3 linked regions of the Callithrix jacchus genome follow. The main gene of each other region encodes a partner of the protein of the gene in region 3 in a complex. Links are inferred from orthologs where the notes say so. Each region holds a gene or a part of one and is shown on either strand. Other genes may lie near its edges. The genes, in order: GNAT3, GNAT1 and RHO.

Region 1 (9,998 bases), on a different chromosome or scaffold from region 3:
TAGACAGGCATGGGCTGTGTTAGTGTAATAAAATTAAGAGTTGATGAACTTATAATCTAATCAGTAACTCAGAAACAACTCTAGTTTCCTGGAATCTCTCCCACTCATATCTAGGGATAATTAAAAAAAAAAAAAAGACCTATTAAAAAGCACACATAGAATAAAAATAGTCACTTAAATTTAACCCAAGTATTGAGTCCTCAGTTCTCTTAGTTACATGTAAAAAAAAGACAAACTAAGAATAATGATACACATTTATTGAGTTTTAATTTTTTCAGATTTGGGAATCTATTATGCCAAAGAATAAACCACATTTGTCTAGATCTTTACAAGTTACAAAACACTTGGCATCCATTATTTCTCTGAGTTTATGTGGCTAGCCTATGGTCACTCTGGGAAGTATAAAAACATTATACTGGATGAAGATATTAATAAATCAATTTCTAACTCAGATGGTTTAAAAACACATTCTGTTCTAGTATTAAATTGTATTCTCCTCATTCTGCTCTGTGGTTAAACCTATTTAGTTTATTCTGTTGTGTAAGTTTTATTTTACCAATTATTTTGTACCAAGCCTTTAGATAGCGTCAAAATCATTATAAGTCTCCTACTACGTACCTTCCAAAATGTCTATTTGTTGAATAAGTGAAACCATTTGAAAAGTTTGAAAATGTTAGCTATAATAAATATACTACATTTGAAAATAGTTTTTGATCTCTAGACTCCATCCCTATTCATGTTTCTAAAAGCCAGATTGGTGGAATAGTATTTTCAAACAGTAAAGCTCAGATGACATCATTAAAATAATAATAGTATGGTGCTTACAATGTAGCACAAAGAAAAATTAGAAATAAAATATTTTAAAACGAAAAAAAAATCTATGATAAATTTTCCATGGTATTCTTCGAAATTACTAGCTGAAAGTGAAAAATTGTAGAATAAATGTTAATTATTTATAGCACAGGGTGTTTTGAATATGAAGAAGAAGGAAGGCTAGTTGTTTCCCTATACTTTCCATGGTGTTTTAAATCTAAACAACCCATGTGATGAAAATTTGCCAAAACACAAAGGAAACTGATGCAGCAAAATCAACTCAGACTGAAATTTGACACAATAAGCATGAAGAGAAGAGAAAAGAAAAATGGAAACATGGCCCGTATTGAGTTTACAATTAAATAATAGGTATTATTTTGAATAAAATACCATTGAATGAAACATTGATAAAACTTTCAAAATGAATTTAGATAAAAATGAGAATATTCATTAGAGTTTGTTTTTTTTTTTAATGTGCTCTTTCTGGAATATCTTTGCAAGTGAATTTTTTAAAAAGCATATGACATGATTGTCTTGATTGCAGTTATCTATTGTGCTCAGCAAGGTATGAATCATCACCAGTGTTTTCTAAAAGCCTACTTTTTGCTAAAATAAAACACAGATTTGGCATCTGTTCCATGATTTTACTGAAGGTCTAAAAAGTGTAATAAAAAGGCATCTGTCTGTGAGATGATCCTTTAATTGTAAAGTAGCACTTTGATAGCTCTTCAGACTCAGTGAAATCTTGTGTTCGATGATACCAAATGGTTACAATTGCTTTACAGTACATGTTAAATTTGGAAAGTTGCTGTTATGCTGAAAGCTTCTAGAAATTCATTAGATGAAGATCAACATACAGAAAAAAAGTCTGTCAAAAGTGGTTTTAGATTTCTTATTTTTGTAAATGTAGTTATTGACTTGGTTTGGTCACTACTAAGTTTAAACTGATTAGCCCCATGTGACATACACTCATTGTGAAACTTAAAACTTATCCAGATCACACTGATGAATGAGAGCACCATTTCAATGATGGGAAAATTAAATAGATTTCACTGGTGAGGAGATTTGAGGTGGGAGAGTGGAAAGCTTTGGTTTCGTTCAACTGAACACTTTTCTAATGTCTTAATGAGGTCACCTTGAATATAAAAATTATAGTTTTGAGAATTTGAATTCAGTCCAAAAATATGAGAATGAAGTAGAGTTATATGACTGTTAGGAATTTGATAACTATATTATCATATATAGTATTCAGATGAAATCCAGAATGGAAACTTAGTCAATTGTTTGTAATATAATTGAAATATAAACAACTTAAGAGAATTTAATTTATTTTGTATAAATAAAATGTGACAAAGGGGTTTAGGGCACATACTGTTAGAACCAAATAAATCCAAATATTTTACTTAGTAATGATGAAACTAAATGTATAAAATTGTAATCACGTTGGGAAAGTAAAACATATAAGAGTCCCACTAATTATTCTTTTATACTTCTGGTACAAATGTTGCTCTTTCTTCTTGATTTAACCACCACTTAAGTCTATACATAATTTATATAATTTATTTTTCATTTGATAGCATTGCATACAATAAGTTGGGTCTCAGTCAATGGCTCTGTGGAGTTGTGAAATTTACTAATTCTGGAAGCCCATCTTTATCAGTAGTCTGTTGATTTTCAGTTCCAAATTAAAAAAAAGAATCTTCCTTTTGTCCATGTTCCATTAACCCTTTTTGATTCAATTTTCAATAATCTATTTTTAGTCATCTATACGTATTCTTTTTAAACATTTTTATTTTCTTAATCGACAACATTGCATGCTTCTATTGTGTACAACATGGTATGTTAAAGTACAAATACACTGTAGAATGGTTAAATCTTGCTAATTAACAAATGTATTACTTCACAGTTATCATTTTTGTGATAAATGCACATAACACCCACTCTCTTTACATTTTTCAAGAATACACTATATCATAATTAACTATAGTCACCTTGCTGTACAATAGATCTCTTGAAATTTATTCCTCCTATTTAACTGTGATTTTTTTAAAATCTTTAAGCAACAACTCCATTTCCCCTTGTTCGCCCCAACCACCCTAGCCCCTAGAAACCACCACTCTTCCTTGTTGTTTTCCATTACAACTGAATCTCCAGTTGACTGGCTGCTCTGATATGCTTATCTCAAGAGTAATTGCTTTTAGCATGTTTAATAGTTTTTATCTTAATCTAAATTGTGATATTAGCCCTTTCATTTTTTTTGGTTTTCCATTTGCAATTTTACAAAATAAGAGAATATATAAAAAACAGACATTTGGTATATTAAAAACACACATCTATTGAAATGTTATTTAAATATGGGGATTTTGAATGCATTTTATCACCATTCTTATTCCATTGATCTTAGTATAAGAGGAATATAAAAATGCATTTGTAGGAATGCTTGTCTTTCTCTTTCACCTTTCATTTGCTTTTCCTATGTCCATATTACTTTCAGTCTGATCAGAAACTAACAGAATTCTCTGATGTGTTAGGAAGCATATATTTCCTGGTGTCGTAAGCACATAACCCACATCTTTCTAAGTCACCGACATCTGGATGGTTATTGACAAGTGCTGTGGGCCTGTGTGCAGGCACAGAACCTGTGTAAGGGGCAAGAGCTGGGAATCCCACAGTTGGCGTCTGAAACACTCTTGCTACTGAGAGCAAATTAGACACAATGAAGGAATACTTAAATAAATTTAAGAATTTAATGCATTTTATATTATTAAGTATTTAAGTGTTTAAATACTTGAAATATGAGGAAATTTGTTATGTGAAGTATGCACAATTCTGAAATAAAATGAAGTCCTTTTATGTATAATCAAAATCAGGGAGAACGTACAACTTACTATAATTCAATCAGAATTAAGCACTTATTTTGTATTCTTCTTTATAGAGGTCATTATTTTATTTCAAAACCATATTTGTGTTTCAGTGACAACTGCATGTAAAATGTTTATTCTTCATATAAAATATTTTATGCTTTATAGAAAAAAATCTGCATACAGGTTATTTTTATTTTTTCAATTAATTGAACATTATTGAATTTAGAGTCAAAGTAAAACACTGTGTTGAGTTTTGAGGAAAGGAAAAATATAAAAGAGACATAAATACTGACCTGAATGAATATATAATTGCACCAAAAGGATTTAGATAGAGTATTTTTCAAGCATACAAGTAATGTCACAGGCAGTATTAAGGAGCCTAAGTAATAGTATCAATATAATTTAAAGTACCTTATCATTACTCTCTAAATAACTTGACTAATTGATTTTAACAACACAAGTAAATTACTAACATCAACTTCAGCATCAAACAACTCAACATATTTCTGTTTAAACAAAATAATGTAACTCCTTATGACTTTTAATTAAAGGATTGCTTTCAGTATTAAAAGGCTGACATTCAGAAAATAATTAGAATGTAATAAAGTAAATATATCTGATTTTTCTTTTATTAATAGTAAATCATATTATTGACAGAGAAATTAGCTGATAAATATTTACCTCTTTGCTAACGAAAAAACATGTAATAAAACACTAAACAGAAAAATTATTAAATATTGATAAAGTGCTAGTAAATCTGCTTAAGTTTCCAAATACATTTTCATAATAAATTTCCCACATGATAATACACTCAAAATTAAAGTTTGAGAAAAGTAAATGTATCCCAGTTAAAAAAAAGTCAGGTTTTTGAGAGCAAAAGGGAAAAGAAATTACCTAATAGGAGCAGCTTTACAGTTCTTGCATCTCGCTCAGCATCCTCCTGAAGCTTTTTCTCCAGTTCTTTCGATCTTTTGGCTGACTCCTTGCTCTCTGAACTAATTCCACTTCCCATCTTGTGGTAGTAGATACGTGTCGGTTTATTTGTTCCAACTTCAAATGCTGAGCACAGCTGTGGTTTGGACATAGGATGCAAGAGCAATGCTCTCCTGAAGTACCCAGCAGTCCATTCCCTAGGGCTCTAAGATTCTGCTTTGACTAAGAAGATGCTTTCTCATCTGTCAGCTGATCAAGTGGTAAAACCATACCACCCTCATGGAGGCTAAAGAGGAAATTCATTATGCTTGCAAATTAAACGACTGATTTGGGCACATCTTTGAAAATATGCTTATCTGCCTTAAAGAATAGTATAAAATAATGTAGAAAGTTGTCAGATTCTATACACTAGAGATGATCTACAATAAGCAATTCAAATAGAATGTTTCTCATTACAGGGGAATTTTTATTACTGTGATTAAAAGTTATTACTAATCAGTGATGCTTGCATCCCATTTTCAGATATTTGGATCTTTGATTTATTTATAGTCAGTCCTATATCACAATCAGAATATATACATTAAGTTATCCAACTTTTATGGTCTCCTATGCTTAGATTATTATTTAAGGCTACTGAGCATCTATTAGCATCTGTCAGTGAACAAAAAATATTGTTTTCAACAAGGGATACAAATACATATAGTTTTTATATCTGTACATAATATATTGCTACAAATAAAGAATTCAACGCAATTTTCTTAAATTATTGATTTTAGTCTCATAGGATCCATCTCTATAAACTGAGCTTTTACCGCCTGTGAGAAAGTCAATCCATAAACACTAATTGAGGGCCCACTTGGTGTAGACACTGAACTGTGTTCAATTTAGGCAGCACATTAACTCTTTAGGGCCATTAAGCAATAGCCGCTGTGCTGGAGGGACTTTTATTGATTTTGTACCAAGGGAATAAAAACCAATGTTCTTTGAAACAGCAGGTAATTTGATTTTTCCTACAAACTAAAAACAGTAATTACACCCAAATATGTTCCATATCCTTCAGCTACTCCAAAAGATACCATGTACTTCTTGTAAATATTCAGGATTGAGGGCAGAGATGATGCAGCACAATTTTTTATTTACATGAAGCATAAAGCACTTGGTAGGTAGTCAATCAATATTTTCCTTATAAATCGAGTTGGATGCCTGTGGCAGCAGATAAGTCTTTCAATGTGCATTTTGGGATTTGTGAATGTGTTTAACCAGAAAATGCTCGAATACAGTCCATCCATCCACCTGTCAGTGCCGCTCTTCTTGTGGGATCATGTGCAAAGTTTGAACAGGTGGGTTTTTACATATTCATACAATAAGAAAATAGGCTGTCAGATTAAATACATATTCCTGCTTTGTTTACTTTTGCCACATTAAAAATATTAGGCTGAAGATATATAAACATAGTCAAAACTTCCTGAGTTCCATTCCTCCAAAGCCATATTATGATAGTATGAAGATGTGCAATGGTAGGTAGACAAGGATTTGTGCAAATGATGTGGTGTTGCTTTTACAATGCAAAGAGCCTGTCCCAAAGGAAGGAGATTTCTACTGCCTACTGCTCACCTGTGAACACAAAGTCCAAGCTGAAAGCAATGTTTAGCACATTTAATCTCCTTTTGCCTATTGCTTTTATAAAGAATTTGAATATAATAATAAACAGAATTCTTGCATGTTCCATAGCAGCAATGAACTGACAGGCTACATCATATAATTTGCATTCAAGTATAAATATACCTCATAGCTTTTTGGCAGAGATATACCCTGGTTTTAAGAACATATGTGTTTTACTAAGGCTTCCTCATTGGATCACTAACTAAAACTGGCCAACTCTTTCAGGAGTAGAAGTATATATTTTCTGCACTGTATAAAACGATGAAATTCTACTTTTCTGTTGTAACCAGTAATGTTCATCAACTTTATGAAATTGTCATGTTATATTTTTCATCAGTGATTAAAGTATTCTTGACATGAAATTCTAGTTATGTCTGTGTTACAGAGAGGGAGAGCTAGAGAGAAAAAGACTCCTTTCTCAGACTTCTCCCCTGGATGCCTGGGACACAGCATCATTAATGAGTTGGGCTTAATACAGCTGTTAGTTCATATTGCTTCACTTAGGCATATAACTTTCTATACATAAAGAAGTGAGGAAAATCAAAATAGTGAACTCCTCTGGAGTGGTGATAATATCTCTTTTTTTTGAGATGGAATTTCGCTCTTGTTACCCAGGCTGGAGTGCAATGGCGCGGTCTTGGCTCACCGCAACCTCCGCCTCCTGGGTTCAGCCAATTCTCCTGCCTCAGCCTCCTGAGTAGCTGGGATTACAAGCACATGCCACCATGCCCAGCTAATTTTTTGTATTTTTAGTAGAGACGGGGTTTCACCATGTTGACCAGGATGGTCTTGATCTCTTGACCTCGTGATCCACCCGCCTCGGCCTCCCAAAGTGCTGGGATTACAGGATTGAGCCACTGTGCCTGGCCGATAATATCTTCCTAGCTTGAATGGTCTATAGGATATATGGCACAGTACTAATCCAAAATTATTTCTTGCTAACAAATTGATAAAGGCCTGGAGTCCTTTTTTTTTCTAGTGCTTAGTGACCGTATGGTTAGGATTTTTTTTCTAAAATTTTAGAGTGACTAAAAAAAAATCAATAAAAAGCCCAATTTTAGTTTTAAATAGTATCAGGATGTACAATTGTAGCTATTAGTCCAACAGTCACACATTTGGTTCCTCAGTCTTAAAACTAATAGCAACATGCTTCTTTTCGATCATTAAACCCTGTTCCATGATGACAGAAAACTGATAAAAGAGGACAACAGAAAAAAAGAACTAAATTTCATGCTGTGACCATAAATTTTGTTTGTTCTTGGAAACAAGAAATGTGACGCTAGCCAAAACACCAACATCATGTTAGAGTTTTATGCACATATACGTACACACACACACACACACACACAAACACACATATATAAGGTTGGTACAAAAGTAATTACAAAGACTGCAATTACTTTTGCACTAACTTAATATATGTTCCAGCTATGAGAGATGATTATCCTGTATACACACACTTGCACACAAAGACACGCATGCACAAGCCCATGCACACACAGGAAGAGCAAGAGATTGTGTTGGAGTGCTGTGGTCTTTTAGAAAAATGTTTGTATAATGTTTATAAACAATGTTTAAGAACATTGCTTCTTTATTGTGTCACAGTAATATTGATTTGAGAACAAATACAGAGAGTGAACCACACTTAAGCTCCAAAAGTCACTGAAATACCACAAGCATGGACGATGAGAATAAATTTTCTCTTGCTGTTTTTGGTTAGGATCTCTGTGGAATCTTCAGAGAGGAACAGTAGCCTTTAAAAAGTTTGAGTAATCACTATTTTACATTGATGATTAAACATACAGCTTGAAGTGACATGCAGTTATTTGCTACCTGCTTTTAATAACCAGATTTCAATCCATGTTTTTGGAGATGACTCTTGCCAATATTGCCTGTGTTTCTACAGTCATCAAGCTGAATTTCTCGTGGAGATGTTACATGTGGCTCACTTCAATGAGTTGGGGATGTTACAGCTTGGGGATGTTACAGCTTAGGGATGTCTCATTGGCTCAGCTCCTGCTGGAAATTGCCAAAACAGGCTGTTATCTGTGTTACTCTTTATTTTGTTTCCAATCTTATAGGAGGTGTTGATTTCAGGCATTGTATCCTTAGGTGGTTTGAGTCATGGCTGCCTTAGCAATGCCCTTTATCCTTGTATATTCCCATGAAAGTTGAGGCAAACCATCTCTCCTTGGCTAATGGTACTCAAATGTGCACTTCAGGGAGCTCCAAGCATAGTATTTCTTCTAGAGAGTTCATGCCTTTTGGGGCTTCCTAAGAGCAATCTTTTGACTTTGAGGGAATAAAGCAAACCTCACTCTTTCAAGTTAGTACATTCAGATGGTGCAATAAGTTTACATTGCCAAATTAAACAGCTTTTATATATTAATAGGTGACATAAATGTGTATTTTTATTCATTGAAGTTGATTTCTACCTTTCCACATGTTTTTATGAATTAGGACAGAATTTTACATATGATTATTGGATGAGAGTCACAGTTGTTTCCAGGGTGCGTTTTCTTGTGTCAAATTGTCTCTTTTATGAGTTTTAAAATATTGCTCTTTAACACATTTCTGTTACTAACTCCCATAATCATATTTCTCAGCGATTTCAGCCCTGATTATTGCAGTAGCCTCTCACTTAGGTTTCTTTATTCTGGGCTCCACTCTAACCCAGTCCAATCTGTCTGATTGTGCCAGGCTAAATTACCTCAAAGGCAAGTTTAATTATTACTCTTTTCTGGCTAGAAAAAACAAATGTTTCTATATTTGCTGCTTCCTCCTGTTTTACTCCTGATGCCATGTACTCAATAATATAGTTAGCACAATCTAACTGTCCAGATGTATTTCCCAAGCACAGGCTGACCTCAAGGATATTGCAGATTCTGTCTCAGATTACCGCAATAAAGTGAATATCACAGTAAAGTGAGTCACACAAATGTTTTAGTTTCCCAGGGCACAGAGAAATTATGTTTATATTAAACTGTAGTCTATTAAGTATGCAATAGCCTTGTGTCTAAAAGGCAATATGCATACCTTAACAAAAAATACTTTATTGTTAAAAATGCTAATAATCATCTGAGCCTTTAGCAATTTATAACCTTTTATAAATCACTGTAAATATTAAAGAAATAAATGTTTACAGATAAACACAATATATTAAACATCAAGAGGTATAATTTCATTGGCCATTGAATATGGTTTTAATACTTTTTAAAATTATATTATAAGTATATTGATTACTTGGAAAACAACATAACACTGATTTTTATATAAAACCTAATGACTTCAAGAAAATAGTTACTACTTTTTGTTGTCCTTGTTCTGTAACTTCTTAGGAGTATTTATATAGTAATATATAAATAGTAATCTCTTTGTACATCTTCATCAGAGCTCGGGTGACCAGGTGCATTGTCAACTTCAGTATTTCAAAAAGAATCTTCTCTTTTGAGCAGTAAGTCTCAATACTAGTCTTAGAATATTCAATAAACCAGGCTATAAACAAATGTGCTATCATCCAAGCTTTGTTTTTCCATTTATAGAACACAGACAGAGCAGTTTCACTTTTAAGGACCCTAGGATTTTTGAAATTAGTATTGGCTTCAACTTAAAGTCACCAGATCCATTAGCCCCAAACAAGAGTGTCAGCCTGTCCGTTGAATCTCCGAAGCCAGACATTAACTTCCCTCTCTATCTTGGAAAGTCCTAGGTGGCATCTTCTTGTAA
Region 2 (10,314 bases), about 40 Mb from region 3:
CAGGCTCATGTGTGCACACACATGCCACAGTGCACCCACCACAGTTCCAGCAGCTCAGACACAGGAGAATGGATGCTCTGGTGTCCTATACTCAGCAGGGCCCAAAATCAGAGTCTGGGTTGGTGGGGGCAGACCCTGGCCATGACCCCCTATGTCCTGGACCAGTCCTCTCTGAACTGGGGAAACCCTTCCACCTTGTCACAGAGCTCCTGCTCCAATGTCCTAGGGGGGTTTGGGCCCTGGTTGGGGAAGGGGCTGAGGCTGGTACCCCTTCCCCAGCATCCCCAGCCTCACTGAGGCCCTGCCTGGCCCGTTCCAGACCGCGGGACAGTACAGAAGGTCATTGTGCTGCCCAAGGATGACCAGGAGTTGGAAGAGCTCATGCTGGAAGAGGTGGAGGTCTTCAAGGTGGGTGTGACAATACCCAGTCTGACCTCTAGGTGAGGGCATGGAGGGGGGGTCCCTTAGTCCCAAGCTGATCTTTATCTCCTTCTAGGACCCAGCACCCGTCAAGACCATGACCATCTCTTCCAAGAGGGTGAGTCTTTGGCAAGGTGGGCCAGGGATGGGGACAGGGCCTGCATCCCCTCAGGGTCATGCCCTTGGCACAGGGATGGATAAACTGAGGCATGGAACAGGGAAGAGGAGCCCAGCCCACCTGGCCATTGGTGGGGCTGGCTATGGGACAGGGACTGACAAGGCCCTGTTCTTTGCCCCAGCAACAACTCTATGTGGCGTCGGCTGTGGGAGTCACACACCTGAGCCTGCACCGATGCCAGGCGTATGGGGCTGCCTGTGCTGACTGCTGCCTTGCCCGGGACCCTTACTGTGCCTGGGATGGCCAGGCCTGCTCCCGCTATACAGCATCCTCCAAGAGGTATGGACCCCTAGACACCTGGGATTTTAGCAACCAGACCCAGGGCCCTATCCTAGGGGATTGGGGGTATATATATTATCCTGGGGGAATCTTAAGGCTAAGACATCATTTTCCTGGGGAAAAAGGGCCCTGCCCTGGAGTCAGGGGGCTACAGGGACCTAGGGGCAGGCAAGCTTCCTGGGAGTAGTCCTTCAGAGGCTATCCCCATCCAGGCGGAGCCGCCGGCAGGACGTCCGGCATGGAAACCCCATCAGGCAGTGCCGTGGGTTCAACTCCAATGGTGAGTGTGCTGGGCCTCACTGTGGGGTGCTGCTCATAATGCAGAGCCTCATGCACCCCATGAAGCTGCTCACAGGGCCCCCACTGTAAGGGTGCTCTGATGGCTAAGGGGGGTGGGGGATAATGGAGATGGGATGTTACTAGTTGTCCCCTTAAGGAATGAATGCTCAACACACAGCTCTGCATTGGTGAGTAGGTGCCCCTTGGTGTCTGCTTTGAAGCAGCCAGCAGACTACCCAGAGGCGATGCTCAACCTCTCTTGCTCTATAGCCAACAAGAATGCCGTGGAGTCTGTGCAGTATGGTGTGGCTGGCAGTGCGGCCTTCCTTGAGTGCCAGCCCCGCTCGCCTCAAGCCACTGTTAAGTGGCTGTTCCAGCGAGATCCTGGTGACCGGCGCCGAGAGGTGAGTTCCTGTGCCCAGTGCTGCACCGTGGATGTGGGAGTCCTTGTGGGCTGGTGAAACATAGAGGAGTGATCTGGAGCAACTCCCATGCTGTGAAACCCCTCCCAGGCTCCCTTTCCTACAAGTAAAACCTTTGAGTGAAAACAGTTATGTGGAAATTCCATGAGACTGGCCTCATTATATGGAAAGTGTTTCTAGGTATGCCTCTTCACATGAAAATTTCATACATAGACCGCATTAGGGGTGTACCTCCTACAAAAGCATCATGTGGGTGAGCTCCAGTATATGGAAATTCTGTGGGGCCCTCATTTTATGGAAATCCCTACAGGTGTCCCTGTTTGCATGGAAATTCTATATGGTTGTCCCAACTGGATATTCTCATTAAATGGAAAATGTGGCTGGTCATGGTGGCTCACACCTGTAACCCCAACATTTTGGGAAGCCAAGGCAGGCAGATCACTTGAGGTCAGGAGTTAGAGACCAGCCTGGGCAACATGGTGAAACCCTTTCTCTACCAAAAAATACAAAAATTAGCCAGGCACTGTCATGTATGTGGTCCCAGCTACTCGGGAGGCTGAGGTGGGAGGATGGCTTAAGCCTGGGAGGGAGAGGCTGCAGTAAGCCAAGATCATTCAGCTGTACTCTAGCCTGGGTGACAGAGCCAGACTCTGTCTCAAAAAAAAAAAAAAAAAGAAAAAAATTCTGTGTGCGCTTCAAACTCTTCTCATTGTATAGAACCTCCTATGGTCGTCTCTCCTGAAATGGAGATCTGTACAGATGCCTTATTCAAATGGCTCTCATTGTGTGGAAACTATATGTGGGTTTTTCTGGCATATGAAAATTCCATATGGGTGCCTCTACACGGAATGGCCACAAAGGTGGTCTGATCTGGTCGCTGGCTATGGCTGTGGGGTGGTCACAGAACCCCCGAACCCCCTCTCCTTGCCCCTGCAGATTCGTGCAGAGGACCGTTTCCTGCGCACAGAGCAGGGCTTGTTGCTGCGTGCCTTGCAGCTCAGTGATCGTGGCCTCTACTCCTGCACAGCCACGGAAAACAACTTCAAGCACGTTGTCACACGAGTGCAGCTACATGTACTGGGCCGGGACGCCGTCCATGCTGCCCTTTTCCCACCACTGGCTGTGAGCGCCCTGCCATCCCCAGGCACAGGCCCCCCAACGCCTCCTTACCAGGAGCTGGCCCAGCTGCTGGCCCAACCAGAAGTGGGCCTCATCCACCAGTACTGCCAAGGTTACTGGCGTCATGTGCCCCCCAGCCCTAGGGAGGCTCCAGGGGCACTCCGGCCTCCTGAGTCCCAGGACCAGAAAAAGCCCCGGAACCGCCGGCACCACCCTCCGGACACATGAGGCCAGCTGCCTGAGCCCTGTCATGGGCCAGCCTAGCCCTCATCCCTTTTAATATAAAAGATATATATATATATGTGTGTGTATATATATATATATATATATATATATATATATATAAAATATCTATATTCTATACATACCCTGCCCCTGCAAAGACAGTATTTATTGGTGGGTTGAATATAGCCTGCCTCAGCAGCAGCATCCTCCACAACTTAGACCCATGCTGGTCAGAGACGGCAGGAAACAGAGCCAGCCTAACCAGGCCCAACCAGTTGGTGGGGCCAAGCCAGGACCATACCGTCCCCAGACTCAGCTGGAAGTCTACCTGCTCGACAGCCTCCGCCAAGATCTACAGGACAATGGGAGGGAGCAAAGCAAGCCCTACTTGAATGGGGCTTGGACTGTCCACCTTTTTTGATGTGTGCTGTCAGCCTGTGCTGTGGCATAGACATGGATGCGAGGACCACTTTGGAGACTAGGGTGGGCTCAGGTGCACTCAGAGAAGGCAAGAAGGGGCCGTCACAGGATGCCAGCCCCTGCCTGGGTTGGGGTCACTCAGCCATGGCCAGCCCCTTCCTGGGTATTTATTCTCTATTTATTGGGGATAGGAGAAGAGGCATCCTGCCTGGGTGGGGCAGCTCCTTCTGCCCCTTCTCTCCTCCCTGCCTGGCCAGGGCAGGGCCACCCCACTCTACTTCCTTAGCTTTTCCTGTGCCGCTTGGACTTGGAGGCTGGGATCATAGCAGAGGGGCTAGGCCCAGGCAGGCCTGATGGGAGGCCCAGCCCTGACGGGAGGGGGTCCGTGGTGGAGGCCTGGGGCCAATAGAAGCTCCCCAGGGTTCTCTTATGTCCACCACTTCAAGCGATGGGTGTAATTAGCTCTGGGGGCATTTGGGTAGATGGGTGGGGGCTCCCGGCAGCTTTCTGCTGCCCAGGCCACAGCCGCCTTTGGGTTCCATCTTGCTAATAAACACTGGCTCTGGGACTAGACTTTGGCTTCTCTCCTTGGTCGGGGGTTGGTTTAGAGCCACATGTGGTGGGCCTGGGGAGCCAGGTGGGGGGGGCTGGGAAGGGAGTAGATTGGCCCCACTTTAAACAAACCCAACATGTAGAAACCACATTCAGTTTGAGAAACCCTTGGGCAGTGTAAAGGGCTGCAAAGACTGCCCCCACCCCCCCAGAGCCCACTCACTCCTTAGGGTCAGGGAGGGTGGGTGGAGCCCAAAGGCTGAAAGTGGCACAAATGAAATGGCCTCACTCCTGGACAGATGTCCATCATCCAACAGGGTGGGTGTAGAAGCTGCCAGCCTGCTGTAGGAGCCAGCATCCACTTCCCACACATACTATTTAGAGACAGCCGTTAGTGCCTGGTGTCTGGGGTCCTGGCACCCCCTTTTGAGTCTGTGGCAGAGTTGAGTGCTAAAAGGCAGCCAGGTAGATACAATGTGCACACATACATAAGCATGCACACGGGCACCCATGTACACCCAGGTATACATGCACAAATGTGTCAAATCATTGCTTGCTTGGTGCAGTAAAAGACACATACACCCAGCACACAGAGTGTGCCCACCAGAGTCCATTGGAAGCAGAAGGCCTGCTTAGAGCAACTCCAGCCCACGATATGGGACGAATGCAATGTCCACCATTTCCCTCTCTCTGGATTCCCTGCAGGGCATAAAATCCCAGGCCAGGCTAGGCACAGTGGCTCATGCCTGTAATCCCAGCACTTTGGGAGGCAGAGGCGAGTAAATCATGAGGTCAGAAGTTCAATACCAGCCTGGCCAAGATGGTGAAACCCTGTCTCTACTAAAAAAAAAAAAAAAATTATAAAAAGTAGCCAGGCATGGTGGCAGGTGCCTGTACTCCCAGCTACTCAGGAGGCTGAGGCAGAGAATTGCTTGAACCCAGGAGGTGGAGGTTGCAGTGAGCCAAGATGGTGCCACTGTACTCAGCCTGGGTAACAGAGCAAGACTCTTGTCTTAAAAAAAAAAAAAAAAAAATCCCAGTCCAGAATTACCCAGCCCTTCTTAACTTCTTCCTGTGGTGTGACCCTTTGAGCCTCTACTTCCTCATCAGTAAAATGAGGCTGATGACATGGGCACCCATCCTCCAGGGCCAGTGTGAGCTTAGAACAAGATAAGAAGTGGTGCTGAGCCCAGTGCCTGGCAAGAGGCAGGTGGTTCAGGCATGCTTCTCTCAATTACGCCCTCTTGCTGCTAGCCCCACCTCCATCATCCTCACCCCCAGGGCTCAAGGGTCTGTCTTCCCCTTTCTCAGCCCTGCCCCTACGAACATGTCTCCCTACTCCTAGGCAGAGGTAGGGCCTCTCCTTGCAGGAGGGGGCAGGAGGACATCAGGGGTGCAGAGTCAGCTGTTGAGGGATTGGGGCTATGCGAGCCTGATTAGAAGGGTTGGGAGGGCTGAGCTGGATTCACCTGTCCTTGTCTCTAATTGGCTCTTGGACACCCCCAGCCCCCAAATCCCACTAAGCAGCCCCACCAGGGCCTGCACAGGTCCGTGGAGAGCCAGTTGATTGCAGGTCCTCCTGGGGCCAGAAGGGTGCCTGGGAGGCTGGGTTCTGGGGATCCCCTCCATCCAGAAGAACCACCTGCTCACTCTGTCCCTTCGCCTGCTGCTGGACCATGGGGGCTGGGGCCAGTGCTGAGGAGAAGCACTCCAGGGAGCTGGAAAAGAAGCTGAAAGAAGACGCTGAGAAGGATGCTCGAACCGTGAAGCTGCTGCTTCTGGGTAGGGGTGTGAGCCCAGGGGTGGGGCCATTGCCACCAGGTCATTGGTCTGGAGGCAGGCAGGCAGCCCTTCTGTGAAACAAGTGTTCCTTGGGAAGCAGTGTGAACCTGTCACAGGGTAGGGCACAGGGTGGGAGCCCTGGCCAAGCAAGGCCAGGCCTGACAGGTGGTGTCCTAGTCCCTCAAGGCTGGATATCCCACGAAGCCCCTCTCCAGACCGCTGGCTCTGCCTCAGGTGACCCACCCTCCCCAGAGGTGTATGCCAACCACATTCTTGTACGGGTATGTGTGAGGCTGACTCTTCTGCGGCTGGGCTCCTGCAAGCTCCCTGCAGCCTTTGGTTTGATGGACCTGCTGGGCAGTGCTCAGAAGCCAGGGGCCTCACTGGGAGCCTGTTACTGGGCTGCTCCTTTGGGAAGGGGACAGGCATAGTCCTCCTGGGAGTGAGGAGCCTCTTTGGCCATCCAGATCCACAAAGAATGGCTCTCAGGTGCCAAAGGGCTGTGACTGGTAGACCTACAAAGCCGCCAGAGGGGCGGGTGGGTGCCGAGGCCCAGCAGGAGTAGATAAAGCCGTGTCCAACAGACCATGGGTAGTGAGGAGAGATGGGGCTGATCCAGGCCTGCCTCAAGGTCACCGACTTTTCAAGGGGAAAGGGCAGGCTCCACCCATGCTCCCCAGGGTCCGGTCAACCAGCTGTAGGTGGGTGAAGGACCAAGCCAGCCCCACTTCCTCCCAAGGCAGAGAGGCTAAGCCAGAAATCTCATTAACTGTGCCCAACGCCCTCGCAGGGGCAGGCTCGGAAAGGATGTCAACTCTGCCCTCCCTCTTACCCAAAGGCGCTAATTCCATCTGAGCCTCTCGGAGACACCCTCACCCCTTCAGGTGAAAAGCAAGGGGTTGACCCGCCTCAAATAACCCAGTGCATGCGGTACTAGAGGCTCCCACAAGGTGGCGGTGGAGCTCCGGAATTTCTTCATTGTGTTCTCACACCATAATAAAAGCTGCCTGGGCCGGGGTCTTGGGGCCTCCCCTGTCCCAAACCAGTTGATGTCGTTGATTCTCCTCGTTGGCTTCCTTTCTTCACTTTCCAGACATTTGCAAACCTTGTGCCGTCGGGGTGTTAGGACTTACTTTGGTTGGGGAGGGAGGTAGGTGTGACTATGGGGTGTGGGCTGTTGCCCAGGCCTCTTTGCTGCAGGTACACCTAGTCAACTCGGGCTGGCCCCGTCCTCCCGGCCTCCTTGCGAGGGGCGGGGGACAGACAGTCAGCGCAGCTCTGAGGCGCCGCCTCCCTTTCAGGTGCTGGTGAATCCGGGAAGAGCACCATCGTCAAGCAGATGAAGTGAGTGCCCCTACCTGTCCTGAGGTCCCTCGGGCTGGGTCCTTCCCCACTTGCCCACGAGGGGCTCATCCTGATCGCCTCGACCCCAGGATTATCCACCAGGACGGATACTCGCTGGAAGAGTGCCTCGAGTTCATCGCCATCATCTACGGTAACACGTTGCAGTCCATCCTGGCCATCGTGCGCGCCATGACCACACTCAACATCCAGTACGGAGACTCTGCACGCCAGGTGTGCCAGGAGGCGGGCTGAGTGGGCCTCTGGGGACTCAAGGCGCGCGGCTGCACCCTTGTCCCTGGCCGCCACCAGCCACTCTCACCCTGTCCCCAGGACGACGCCCGGAAGCTAATGCACATGGCGGACACCATCGAGGAGGGCACGATGCCCAAGGAGATGTCGGACATCATCCAGCGGCTGTGGAAGGACTCCGGTATCCAGGCCTGTTTTGAGCGCGCCTCGGAGTACCAGCTCAACGACTCGGCGGGCTAGTGAGCGCGCGGGCAGCTCAGGGCACGGGGTGCGGGGGGAATCCTCCACGCCTCCCCACCCACCGCGGCCGGGTCTCGCGCAGCTATCTCTCCGATCTGGAGCGCCTAGTAACCCCAGGCTACGTGCCCACTGAGCAAGATGTACTGCGCTCGCGAGTCAAGACCACAGGCATCATCGAGACGCAGTTCTCCTTCAAGGACCTCAACTTCCGGTACGATCCGCGTGCTAGCCCGGGAGGTCACTGCCCCAGGCCCGGTCTCGCCCCGGGAACCCCGTCCCTGCTATAGGCCCTGCCCCTTCCTGGATACCCCTCCAGCAAAAAGGGTGCTAGTCCCAGCCGAGAGCTCCCCGACCAGCACTGGGCGAGGGGATGCCTGCGGGCAAGCCCAGGGGGCCCGGGGCGCCGGTTCAGGCCCCCGCGGCCCCGCAGGATGTTCGATGTGGGCGGGCAGCGCTCCGAGCGCAAGAAGTGGATCCACTGCTTCGAGGGCGTGACCTGCATCATCTTCATCGCGGCGCTGAGCGCCTACGACATGGTGCTGGTGGAGGACGACGAAGTGGTGCGTGCCAGGCAGGGTCTGTGTTCCAGGGGCTAGGTGGAGCTGCTGGCCCCTGAAGGCAGAGACCTAGCGCTGGGCTGGGGGAGGGCCTGAGAGGGGAGGCCCGTCCGAGACGGCCTGAGGCGTTCAGCAGGCCCACCTGGGGCAGTGCGGGGCGCCCTCTGCGAGCCAGCTGAACGAGAAGCCCCGCGCTGCCGGGGCCGGGAGCCCAGAGAGCAGGGGTTGCGGGTCGGACGCGGACCCTGGTGCCCGACAGCCACTGCCCTCCTCAGAACCGCATGCACGAGAGCCTGCACCTGTTCAACAGCATCTGCAACCACCGCTACTTCGCCACGACGTCCATCGTGCTCTTTCTCAACAAAAAGGACGTCTTCTCCGAGAAGATCAAGAAGGCGCACCTCAGCATCTGCTTCCCGGACTACGACGGTGAGGCGCCCGTAAGGCCGCCAGGCGGCGCCCCCGCCCCTTAATCGCGGCACGCGCCCCCCCAGCGCGGGGAAGAAAGGGCTGGGCCGAGTGAGAGCTCCCGCCCCCGCAGGGCCCAACACCTACGAGGACGCCGGCAACTACATCAAGGTGCAATTCCTCGAGCTCAACATGCGGCGCGACGTGAAGGAGATCTATTCCCACATGACGTGCGCCACCGACACGCAGAACGTCAAATTTGTCTTCGACGCTGTCACCGACATCATTATCAAGGAGAACCTCAAAGACTGCGGCCTCTTCTGAGGTGGGTCGCGGCCCTCTCCAGCGCCTCGCCTCAATATCCCAGCTCCGCCCCTGCTCCCCACCCCACGCCAACGCCCTGGCGCCTCACCTCCAAATTCCGGTGCCCACTGCTTCCAGGCCCCACCCCAGCACCTCAGGCTCCACCCACAGCCGAGGCTCCGCTCCACCGACAGAGGCCCCGCCCCACTCACACAGGTCCCATCTATTGAATTTCTTTTGGCCCCGCCCTAAGGCCTCAGGTGTCTCAGCTTCCAGGGCTGCCCCCAAAACGCAATGCCTAAACCCGTTTATTTTGTGTCTCAGGGATGCTGACTTGGTTTCCTTTGCTCTTCACAGCTGCCTGAATTCATGCATGTCACTTGCCCCGAGACCCGATAGCCCTAGCTGCCTTGCAGCCCCAGCCCTCAGGACCCTATCAGCCCCCAGAACTCCTGGGCCCCAGCCTGCCACCTCATCAAAGCCCTGAGCCCTGCTAGCTTTGAGGCCCGGACCCTTCTCCATACCTCCCACAGTCTCCCAGCATCCCATGCCCCCAACCCCAGCCCTGCCCTTCACTGCCTGGCTGCACTGGCCTCTAGGACTCTGCACTAGCCAGCCCCAGCTAGGAATGGGCAGGACTTGGGGCAGCTGAAGCTTTCCATGACTCAGCAGTGCTCAACTGACCAATCTCCCACAGCTCTCCTGCCCCTGGGAGCCCACGACTCACCTGGTGGGTCTGGGCTCAGCAAACAGCCCTCCCTCCCAGCGTTTCATCAAAGACAGGGGATATCCCTCCCACACACAGGCCAGCTGCTCACCCTGCCACCTCCATGTGACAAGTTTGGCACCTGTCTACCCAGGACCAGTGACTGTCCCTCCCAGCACCCTCCAAAGGGTCCAGAGTCCAAGTTAGCTCTGGCCTGTGCAGTCCCCACATAAACAAATTAGTGGGGAGGGGGCAGATCTGGGGGTCCTTGGGTGCCAGGGTGAGGCACAGCAGGACCCTTCCCCAAATACCAGGTTCAGAGCAACCCCCAGCCCCTCCTCCAGCAGAATCTGCTCATTGGACACCAGATCCTTAGACAGAGGTCCTTGGATGCCAGATCCACATGCCACTTCCCCACACACACATAGTACCCCCGGCTGACTGGACAACAGGATGGTCTGTTAAGGGAGGGTACTGTTGACACCAACTATGGCCAATAACAGGGCTGTCCAGAGGGGTGGCTGGGGACAGAGTCCAGCTCCCATCGATCAGCCCAGACAGAGGACTCAGGATAGGACAAAGGCCCTGGCTGTGCCCAAAAGGGTCTACCTCAGGTGGGGTTACAAGCAAGCCCAGGTGACCCTCTTATCCCTGCCCGAAGCTTCTCTTCCTCCCTCCATTCAGGGTTCCCTTCCCCGGGAAGCTGAGAGCCATGGCTGAACTATCAGGGACAAAGGCCCATGTCCCCACATCCCTGCTCCCTCCTTCTTCAGCACCAAATCTTTGTTTATGCCCACGGGCTAGGGCCTGTGCTGCAGTCGGGGACAAGGA
Region 3 (10,311 bases):
AATTACCTGTTAATAATAATTAACAAGTTACATTAATTGATGTTATTCACAACGTTAACTAGCATCTGTACGGCTTCTTGCTATTTACAAAGTGCTTAAACACACACATGGACACGCACACGCAGCACACGCACATACACACACACACACACACACACACACACACACACACACACACACGCCCCTCATTTGGTCTTCTCAGTAGCTGCAAGTCGGCAGGACCAGAGATGTGGGATTTCCATTTCATAGGGGAAGAAAGTGAGGCCCAGGGAGGGAAGAACAACTGCTCCAAATCATGAGCCAAGTGTGAGCTGCTGCTGCTAAGAGGGTCTGAGAGGACAGATACGTTCTCCCTTCCCATTCATTCCTTCATTCATTCCTCCATTCCTTCCTGCATCCATCTAGCATTTATTAAGCACCTATGTGTGCTCCATTGTGTGCAAGACACTTAGCCCTAAACTGGGACATTTTTCCAGAAAGCAAGATTTCCCTCGTGTTCCTGAAAGATGAGTTGGGAGGAGAAGGGGCACAGATCCCACTGGCCTTGGGGAACCTGGGACTCCAGATCAGTAGGTTTTCGTGGATGTCCCTTCTCAGGCCATCCCGGGTGAGTGAGAAACCTCATTTTTCTCTCATGAATTATTTCTCAAAAAAAAAAAAAAATTAAGGAGCCTATGTGACTTCGTTCATTCTGCACAGTCGCTGCTCCTGGTGGGATGGCTGTGGCTGGGGGAGAGTGTGGGGGATGGGAGACGCCTACGGTCAGCCACAGAGTCCTTGGCAGGTCTTAGGCCGGGGCCACCTGGCTGGTCTCCGTCTTGGACACGGTGGCGGAGGCCTCATCGTCACCCAGTGGGTTCTTGCCGCAGCAGATGGTGGTGAGCATGCAGTTCCGGAACTGAAAGGCAAGAGGCCTGAGTTAGGACCGGGGCTGCCCACAGTGCGCTTGGAACTGGCACGTTGGTGAGGTTTGCCCCAACCCTTTCCCGGCTTGTGCCCCTCACAGTTCCACTCAAATCCGGCCTCCTGGAGGGAACTTGCTAAGCAGACACTCCCCACCCGTAGAGATGCCAGGGACCGAGCAATAGGGGACTGCATCACCCTCAACATTTCATGGTGCCCTCTGCGTGCCAAGGGTGTGCTGCAAATTCTCTCCTGTAATCTGAGAGTTTGGTGTTTTGCCCTTTCTATGGATGAGGAAACCAAGGCCCAGAGAGGGGAACTGACTTGCCCAGCGCCACAAGCTGGAAAATGGCAGAGCTGACTTCAGAGACTGTTTCCCCCCTTCTGGGTTCCTCGGGGAAACCACTTGCTCTTTGTTATGGGACTGCCTTATCCCTTTACCCTTCAGAATAAGATTTTTTAGCTCCTTATTCAGCTTTATGGAGACTGGCCCATCCCATTCTCGGCCTGGGACCTGCTGACGTTGACATCAGGCTTCCAGAACCATCTGGACTGGAGCTTCTGACACCTGAGTGAGGATCCGAGGCACCTGGAGGGCTTGCTGGTGATGCAGGTTCCTGGGCCCACCCTGAGATTCAGCAGGTCTGGGTGGGGTCCAGGAACCTGCATTTCTCACACGCTCCCCATTGACACTGCTGACCCGTGAGCCCCACTGCCAGTAGCCCTGATGGAGCCCCCTCCCCTGCCCTGGCACATAGCTTATCCTTAGCAGGCAGTGCCCGTGGCCTGGGGCACTGGGGCCCTCCCACCCGCAGTAGGCACCTGCTTGTTCATCATGATATAGATGACAGGGTTGTAGATGGCGGCGCTCTTGGCGAAGAACGCTGGGATGGTCATGAAGATGGGACCGAAGTTGGAGCCCTGGTGTGTGAAGATGTAGAATGCCACGCTGGCATAGGGCACCCAGCAGATCAGGAAAGCGATGACCATGATGATGACCATCCGGGTGACCTCCTTCTCCGCCTTCTGTGTGGTGGCCGACTCCTGCTGCTGGGCGGCGGCCTGCAGGGACACGGGACCCGGGTCCAGACCATGGCTCCTCCGAGGAGCAGGAGCTGTAGATGTGCGTTGGGGGCTGGACGCTCAGAGGCCACCCACCCCCAGCCCGTACCTCCTTGACGGTGAAGACAAGCTGCCCATAGCAGAAGAAGATGACAATCATGGGGATGGTGAAGTGGACCACGAACATGTAGATGACAAAGGACTCGTTGTTGACCTCCGGCTTGAGCGTGTAGTAGTCGATTCCACATGAGCACTGCAGGCCCTCAGGGATGTACCTGAGACAGGCAGGTAGGGAGACCTTGCCTGTGAGGGACTTGGGAATGGCCCCGGCCAAGGTGCCTGCCAAGCACTGGCCCTCTCTGGGGCTTCCTGTTCCCTCCCTGGAAAGGGGATCATAAAGGTCTGCGTGGCTGGGTGACAGGATGGACTGCATCCGGTGGGGATGCAGATGCACCTTGTGGAATCAGTGTCGCTTCATTGTTTGGTGGCTGCGGTACCAGATGACATGACCTAGCCTCTCCCTGCGTGCCCTGCCTCAGCATCCGCTGCCTGCTGAGCCTCAGGCTATGCCAGGCAGAGGTTGGTGAGGACGAGGGGAGAGCCCTCAGGCTCTGTATTTGCGGCAGTTTGTACAAACTAGCACCAGGGTGAGAGTATTTTCCAGGCCAAAGACAGACACACAGGGTATCTAAGGGATCTCTGTGCAGCTTCTGGAAACAAGAGGCTCCCAGGGCACATGGTTAGGACGTGGCAATGGTTCCTGATGTTGGTGGCAGTGAAATGGCCTCAGGAAACCCAGAGCGTCCAATGGCTGTGATTCCAGAGGATGGAACTAGGCCAGACTGGAGAAGATGGGGAAAAAGTCCAGGGGGTGGGCTGAGATTCAGCAAGGGGTAAGAAATGGACCCTAGCCAGTCTGAGGAGAAAAGGGAAGTGAGAGTGGGAATTTTCTGGAGGCAGAGGGACACGAGGCCTCTGGGGACCAGTCACCAGTCCTGATGTCCAAACCACCGTCCCCGCTGTGTCTCATCTCAGCCCCATTTGGAATTGCCTAGAGGCCAAATGGGACCCAGTTCCCAGGGGCCACAATATGGCCACCTGCACTAGGAAGGCGTGGCCTCCCCCACTGCTGAGGCCCAAGGTTAGAGGGGGCTGCTCCCGGGGCACTAGACCAAAGAGGATTGGAATTTGCGCCTGGCTTAGCTGAGGATTAGGGGCACAGCCAAGGTGAAGGCTTGGGATGTCTTGGATTCTCTTTGACTTGGAGCTCAGGAGGTGGGACCAGCCCTTCAGCAGCTTTAGAGTCTGTTCCTCCTTCTGTCCTACACCCTACCCTGGGTGGGCATTTGGGCCAGAAGACATTACAAGGTCAGTGTCTGGAACCAGACAGCACTGTGTTTGAGTCCTGACTGGAGGACCCTACAGAGAGCCCCTGGAGCCCCTTCCCTTCTGCCCAATGCCATTACCTGGACCAGCCGGCGAGGGGCGGTGCGGCGCAGGCCAGGGCCATGACCCAGGTGAAGGCAACGCCCATGATGGCATGGTTCTCCCCGAAGCGGAAGTTGCTCATGGGCTTACACACCACCACATACCGCTCGATGGCCAGGACCACCAAGGACCACAGGGCAATTTCACCTGCAAGGCAGCCAGCAGGCGGTCAGCATTGACCCCACTGCCTGTCTAAGGAGGGCGCACTACCCCTAGACAAGGAGAGGGTAGCTAGGAAAGCAACCTGGAGCGAGAGAGGGCCCTGAAGAGCCCTTGAGGAAGGAGAGAGCTTGATACTGGGAGGAGGAGGAAGGGGCAGAGGGACCCCACACTGAGGGGAGCTGGGCAAAGAAACTCAGTGAATGGGGGAAGTTATTTGCTTAGAGCTCTGGATGCATGAGAGACACGAATCAGATCAGTAGGTCATGACTGGACTGGGAACCCGGTAGGGTGGGGTGTGTGTGTGTGTGTGTGTGTGTGTGTGTGTGTGTGTGTGTTTTAACAGAAGAATGCATTTAAGTGTGAGGCAGAGTTCCTTGTTGGGAAGGAATGCAGAGGTGGCTGAAACCCAGAGTTGGGGTCCTTCCTCCCTCTCCCCTCTCGGGAGATGAAATAATGCAGGGCATGTGGGACCCTCTCCTAGGAACCATGAAGCATCAGGCAATGTTTTGCACAGAGGAAGAAGAAGGAAACGATGGCATTCAGACATCTGCCCTGCTCACCACCCCACGAAGTTCCACAGGGAGAGTGGCCATATAGTTTACCAACCACTCCTGACAGTGAATGGGACGATAATTATAAACTGGGACTGACCCTGCAGAGGAAAATCACCCTTTGTGGCACCCCCACCTTCTGGCCAGAACTGGGCGATCTCTGATTATTGAATGTACTAAACACCCAACAATGGCCAGAGAGTCCCTGAGAGTGGGGCCAAGGATGCTGCCTGGACATGGGGCCAGGGGGCAAGGCTGGCAGAGCCACGCTTGTGGCTGGCGCTAAGCTCTCCCTGTCACCCTGGCTTTGCAATGGCTGCCATGAGTGTCTCCTCCTGCATCTCAGCGGACACATTCCTGGATCAGTGCCAAGACCTAGGCTCTTGCTGCTGCCCAGCCACATCCCAAAATTAGTCTCTTCCCCTCTCCTGCCTCAGTTTTCCCCTCTGTTAAGTGAGATCTGTTATCTCTGCAGCACCCCCGTTTATTTTCCTGTTAAAAGCAAAACATTATTCTAAAGCATCTTTCACAGCCACATATCACCTGTGAAAGGAGTTGCTTCAGAGGGGCGGCGTGCAGCTCTTAACACCAGGAGCCCAGGAGCACGGCAGGGAGGCTGGAGGGGCACCCAAGGACAGGAGGCTGGGAGGAGAGGCAGAGGATGCCAGAGGGGACCGGCCCAACGCCCAGCACAGGGAAGACCCAATGACCGGAGGATGGAGAATCCGCTTCCTGCCCCGGGCTGGGGCCCCCAGAAAGGAGGTGTCTGGCTTGCCCAGCTCTCCCCTTGGTGCCCAGCCTGGGTCTGACCCAGCCCAGCTGCTCCGAGGGAAACAGAGGCTTGGTGTTCCGAACATGGCCCAAGGAGCAACACAGATGCGAGCTTCAAACTCAGCTCCATCCCTGTGTGACCCCCAGCAGGGCGCTCGACTTCTTTGAGCCTCAGCTCAGTTTCCTTGCTGTGAAATGAGACGAGCGCCTTGCTCCAAATAAGATCAAGGCAGTGTTCAGTGCCAGCCCTGCACAAATTGCCCAGATATCACCACGAAACGGTGTTTGTTGACTGAATATATGAGGGCTTCAGATAATGCTGACAGGAGAGGAGAAGAGAGAAGTCCTCTCAGCCACCACCGCCAAGCCTGGGACTGTCCCAGACCCCTCCATGCTCCCGGGCTCCTGCACACCCCACCCGCACCCGGCTCATACCGCCCAGGGTGGCAAAGAAGCCCTCCGCATTGCATCCTGTGGGCCCGAAGATGAAGTATCCATGCAGAGAGGTGTAGAGAGTGGTGGTGAAGCCACCGAAGACCATGAAGAGGTCAGCCACGGCCAGGTTGAGCAGGATGTAGTTGAGAGGCGTGCGCAGCTTCTTGTGCTGGACGGTGACGTAGAGCGTGAGGAAGTTGATGGGGAAGCCCAGCACAATCAGCAGGAACATGTAGGCGGCCAGCATGGAGAACTGCCATGGCTCTGCCAGGTAGTACTGAGGGTACTCGAAGGGGCTGCGCACCACGCCCGTCGCGTTGGAGAAGGGCACGTAGAAGTTAGGGCCTTCAGTGCCATTCATGACTGTGGCCCTTGTGGTTGCCCCACGGCTGCTCCCACCCAAGAATGCTGCAAAGGCCTGAGCTCAGCCACTCAGGGCTCCGGCTGGATGACTCCGGGCTCTGACCCCCCCCACCCCCCGCAGACCCTTATAAAGTGACCTCCCCCTCCTAAGCTCCTGGCTGAATCAGCATCTGAGAGATTGGGGTGTTCATAATCATATTAATCCCCGCTGCAGAAATGGAGGGCCTAATTGGCTTCCCAGAGGTCCAAGGTGACACCAGGAGGAAGCCTGAGGTCAGGGAGGGGAGGTACTCAGGACCTTGGGCAAGGGAGGAGAAGGCCCCTAACTTCTATGTGACTTGTCTGTCCCAAGGTCCCAACTCAGTCTGGTGGCCTTGGTCTGAAATGGGGACCATGGGCCTCTGTGCCATTTTTCCTGGCTTAATATGAGCTGACTTCGGATCTTTGTCTGGACTGGACTGAGAGTTTCTGGACAGCTAGAGGCTCTTGGGTTTATTCTCCCAGTCTCTCATCTCGTTATACAGCCCCTAACCTGTTTGTTCCCTCTGGGCACATCCAGTCCCCACACTCCTCCTGCAAGAGGAGCTCCACGAGGGCAGGGGTTGCATCTTCCAGCTTCCGTTCCTGGTGCCAGACAGATGGCCTGGGGCCCAGAAGCCCAATCATTGTTGCATGGAATTGGAATTCACTCTGTGAGTTTGTTCATTAAACATTTATCTGTGGGCCCCTGGGAATACAAAGATGGAAAAGAAACAGACCTGCCCAGAGTAGCTCAGGGGCTGAGGAGGACTCAGAACTGGGAAGAAGCAGATTCCGCCCAGGGTGTCTGTGAGGTTGTGGAGATGGGTCTGACTGCCTGGGGGAATGCAGCCCAGGAGGCCATGTTTGGGCCTTTGGGAGAAGGAGCAGTTTGCCAGGTGGCCGGGTGAGGAAGACCCGGGCTGGGGGCAGTTGTGATGGGTCTTGAACAGCAAGTCGAGTAACATGGCTTTATCCAGAGGGAAGTGGGCAGTGGCTTGGGCAGATCTCTGGGGTAGAAAGGTGACTCAAATGTCTCCAAAGCTAAAGTGGAGGGAGGGAGGATGGAGGGGGCTACCAGAGCAGGGGAGAGACAGAGCCCCTCAGGGACTCCAGTCTGAAGGGGAGGCCCATCCTGGAGGCAGCAGACAGGGTCCTGTTAGGGAAGGTCTGGTCAACCACGAGGGTCTCAGATGCCATGTGCCAGGTGGCCCCATGAGGGCTGGTTCCAGGACAGCAGGATGCACTGTGGGAAAGAAAGTAGTCAGAGCCTTGGGGGCAGATGGCCTGGGGGCAAATGGAGGTAGATCTCCCTCTTCAAGCTATCCAAGGAACACGATGTCACCTCCTAGGAATGAAGTGGGGTGGCCAGGGTGGCCTGTGCAGGTGCTGAGAGTGCCTGATGTTCGAACACTCAGTGACCACCGTCCAGCCAGCATGTGTACTGAGCACCTACTGTGGCCCAGACAAGGTGCTTGTGTCCCCCCTGAGTCTCCACTCGGGGGACACAAAAGAGCAAGCTCCCTTCCCCATAAGAAGCCAGTGTTTCTGTGGGGGTGGGGACACAGGGACCACAAAAGAATAATGGAGCGAGTAAGAGTGAGGACAGTTCAGTCACAGCCACTCCCAACACAGGAGGCTTCTCTGAGAAGCTGGAGCTTGAGTGGAGAGCCGGAACAACAGGCGGAAGCTTCAGGGGAAGGTCATCCGGGCAGAGGGACCCCTGCGAGTGCAGAGCCCTGAGGCCAGGAAAGTGTCCCTTAATCTCTCTCTCACCCAGGATTCCTAGATCTGTCTGTTCAGAAGGGTGCCCCCTTCCCTGCAGCCCACCTGGGCTCTAGCCCCCTGCCTGGCCTGGGCAGTGTTGGGTCTAACAGGGCTTGGCACACGTGGCAGTGCTGAGGCAGGGCGGGTGGGATGGGACCTCCTGGAGTTTAAGGTGTTTGGCCTGGTGATTATGCCCAACGCTAATGAGGTTAAGGTGGGAGTTTGATTCTGATGTGGACCCTCATGGCCAGAAGGAGGGTGTCCTGGATGCCTTGGGTCAAGACTGACCCACACCCGGCCCCTCCCTGGAAGGGCTGAGCCCCTGCCCTACACAGCTTAGCAGCACCTTGGCGCCTTGCCTGTTGCCTGGTGCTTCTGACAGCATGAAGCCTTTTGTGTTCTGTGCATGAGTTTTGTGCCGGTCTCCCTGCCTGCAACGTGAGTCCACAAGGGTGGGCCTGGGTCTGTCTTGTTCACAACAGGGTTCCCAGAGCCCAGCATGGCACCTGGCCTGTGGTGGAAAGAGGTGGGATGTTGGCTGTTTTGTTCACTGACATGCCTCCAGAGCCTGGCACCTAGAAGGTGCTCCCTGAATATTTGTTGAATGAGGGAGTGAGTGGGGGAATGGACCTGATGATCCCAGTTCTTCCGCTCTCTGTCTCAGTTTCCTCTCTTGTGAGTTTCACAATCTCAATCTCATGGAGTCCTGGTGATGAGGAAATAAGAGCCATCACTGACATGGCAGTGCTCTGTATTTGTAAAGCTTGAGAAAGAAAAAAAATTTTGAGACAAGGTCTCACTCTGTCACTCAGGCTGGAGCACAGTGGCGCAATCATAGCCCACTGCAGCCTCTGCTTCCTGTCCTCATGAGATACTCTCACCTCAGCCTCCCGAGTAGCTGGGACCACAAGTGCACACCACTAATTTTTGTATTTTTTGTAGAGATGGGGTCTCACTATGTTGCCCAGGCTGGTCTCGAACTCCCGGCTCAAGTGATCCACCCTCCTCAGCCTCCCAAAGTGCTGAAATTATATACGTGAGCCACTGTGCCCAGCCCAAGAAATTTTTTTTAAATAAAAAATGCTCTTTGTTCAGGGTAACAGGCTCACAGTAAGCTGGAAGGGTCATTTGAAGTCACCTACTCTGACCGTCTCTGCTACATTCATTTTGCAAATGAAAAGACTGAGGCTTAGGTCTGCAGGGTTGTTCAGGTCCTGTAACAAATCAGCGACAGCCTGGGCTATAACCGGCACAGCCAACCTGGCTTCATAGGGTAACAGCTTCCCAAACCTGCTTATTCCTCCCTCCCATCATCAAACACAGCTCTCAGGAAAGACCAGCCAGCCATTCACACCATGGTATAAACAACTAAAGAAAGGTTTAGCTGGGGTAATGGAAAGGCCCTGGACTGAGTGACACAGGCCTGGGGTGGGGCAATGGAAGCCTTGAGGAGAGGAGGCTGGATTCTAGCTGGTCTTTGAGTTATCACGGTAGTCTTGCTTCGCCTCTCTGGGCCTCAGTTTGCTGGGACAAGAGAGCCTCAGTGTGGGGTGGGGGGCACACCCAGCTATACAGTAAAAGTCACTTGCTTTCCCCATGAGAGCCTGGCTTACTAATCTCTGGACCCTACAGCCTTGGTTTCACTGTTCTCCCTCATCAGGCAAGACTCTTTTCCACCCACCCTTACATCTGGACTGAAGCTACACAGCCTGAGTGCAGCCAGCTCCCCGACCCTCCCGAGAGTGTGCTTTGGTTCTCCACTCTGTAAAATGGGAATGACAAGAGCACCTACCTAATAGGATTATTGAGAGTGCTTGTAAGTGATCAATATGTTTGTTGCTGACAGTATTAATCTCTTCCTGAGTCTCCTTCAGGTCTCTGTTTCCACTCATGTCCTTGGGGAGACCGCCCCTGACCATCTTACACACCAGGCACCCCCACCAGGTTTGGTCGTTGTTTTGCGACAGGGTCTTGCTCTGTTGCCCAGGCTGGAGTGCAGTGGTGTGATCTCAGCTCACTGCAACCTCCTCTTCCCAGGTTCAAGTGGAACTCCTGCCTTAGCCTCCCAAGTAGCTGGGACGACAGGCGTGTGTCACCACACCTGGCTAATTTTTATATTTTTAGTACAGACAGGATTTTGCCATGTTAGCCAGGTTGGTCTCTAACTCCTGATCTCAAGTAATCCATTCACCTCGACCTCCCAAAGTGCTGGAGTTACAGGCGTGGTGTGAGTTATAGGCCAGGTGCGGTGGCTCCTGGCCTGTCCTTTTTGAGACAGGGTATTGCCGTGTTACTTGGGTTGGATGTCAGTGGCACAATCTTGGCTCACTGCAGCCTCAACCTCCTGGGCTCAAACAGTCCACCACTTCAACCCCTGAATATCTAGGACCATTGGCCTGTGCCACCATGCCTGGCCTCGCTAATTTATTTTCATTTTTGTAGAGATGGGGTCTCCGTATATTGTTCAAGCTGGTCTCTAACTCCCAGGCTCAAGTGATCCTCCTGCCTTGGGAGCCACTTGGGAGGCTGTAATTTTTAAATGTTTTTTAGAGATGAGTCTTGCTCTGTTGCCCAGGCTGGAATGCAGGGATACAATCATAGCTTACCGCAGCCTTGAATTCCTGCCCTAGGTTCAAGTGATCCTCCTACCTCAGCCTCCTGAGTAACTGGGTCTAAAGGTGTGCCACTGTACCTGGCCTCATTTGTCTTCTTATTGACTGACCTCCCATCTCTTTCTAGAATGCAGGACCACCCTGGCCTGTTCATCACTGCCTCTGAGCTCACAACCCAC

Evidence for each region.
Region 1: the proteins of RHO (region 3) and GNAT3 are in contact, whole or in part, in a crystal structure (PDB 4A4M), measured with the Bos taurus proteins. The link is inferred for Callithrix jacchus from reciprocal best matches to the Homo sapiens genes RHO and GNAT3. Residues at the interface, in NP_001014890.1 of Bos taurus: Leu72, Arg135, Val138, Val139, Lys141, Thr229, Val230, Ala233, Thr242, Thr243, Lys245, Ala246, Glu249, Val250, Asn310, Lys311, Gln312; in NP_001103452.1 of Bos taurus: Ile344, Asn347, Leu348, Lys349, Asp350, Cys351, Gly352, Leu353, Phe354.
Region 2: the proteins of RHO (region 3) and GNAT1 are in contact, whole or in part, in a cryo-EM structure (PDB 6OYA), measured with the Bos taurus proteins. The link is inferred for Callithrix jacchus from reciprocal best matches to the Homo sapiens genes RHO and GNAT1. Residues at the interface, in NP_001014890.1 of Bos taurus: Leu72, Arg135, Val138, Val139, Lys141, Ser144, Asn145, Phe146, Arg147, Val230, Ala233, Gln236, Gln237, Ser240, Thr242, Thr243, Lys245, Ala246, Glu249, Val250, Met253, Met257, Asn310, Lys311, Gln312; in NP_851365.1 of Bos taurus: Ala27, Arg28, Asp189, Leu190, Val312, Glu314, Tyr316, Asp333, Ala334, Asp337, Ile340, Lys341, Asn343, Leu344, Lys345, Asp346, Cys347, Gly348, Leu349, Phe350.

What each region holds. Positions count from the first base shown.
Region 1 is NC_133512.1:69,413,794-69,423,791, reverse strand, and holds the start of GNAT3 (guanine nucleotide-binding protein G(t) subunit alpha-3), read right to left. Parts: upstream 4,818-9,998; 5' UTR 4,762-4,817; coding exon 4,572-4,761; intron 1-4,571. UniProt on the Homo sapiens protein: Guanine nucleotide-binding protein (G protein) alpha subunit playing a prominent role in bitter and sweet taste transduction as well as in umami (monosodium glutamate, monopotassium glutamate, and inosine monophosphate) taste transduction.
Region 2 is NC_133516.1:32,776,010-32,786,323, forward strand, and holds the start of GNAT1 (guanine nucleotide-binding protein G(t) subunit alpha-1), read left to right. Parts: upstream 1-5,455; 5' UTR 5,456-5,570; coding exon 5,571-5,676; intron 5,677-6,516; exon of another isoform or gene 6,517-6,826; intron 6,827-6,977; coding exon 6,978-7,020; intron 7,021-7,109; coding exon 7,110-7,251; intron 7,252-7,350; coding exon 7,351-7,508; intron 7,509-7,591; coding exon 7,592-7,720; intron 7,721-7,939; coding exon 7,940-8,069; intron 8,070-8,341; coding exon 8,342-8,495; intron 8,496-8,607; coding exon 8,608-8,798; 3' UTR 8,799-8,799; intron 8,800-9,134; exon of another isoform or gene 9,135-10,167; 3' UTR 10,168-10,314. Other genes in the region: SEMA3F (semaphorin-3F), read left to right, coding at 320-408, 497-538, 720-877, 1,090-1,157, 1,427-1,560, 2,515-2,925. UniProt on the Homo sapiens protein: Functions as a signal transducer for the rod photoreceptor RHO. Required for normal RHO-mediated light perception by the retina.
Region 3 is NC_133516.1:72,617,217-72,627,527, forward strand, and holds the start of RHO (rhodopsin), read right to left. Parts: upstream 5,836-10,311; 5' UTR 5,734-5,835; coding exon 5,373-5,733; intron 3,601-5,372; coding exon 3,432-3,600; intron 2,241-3,431; coding exon 2,075-2,240; intron 1,966-2,074; coding exon 1,726-1,965; intron 899-1,725; coding exon 788-898; 3' UTR 1-787. UniProt on the Homo sapiens protein: Photoreceptor required for image-forming vision at low light intensity. Required for photoreceptor cell viability after birth.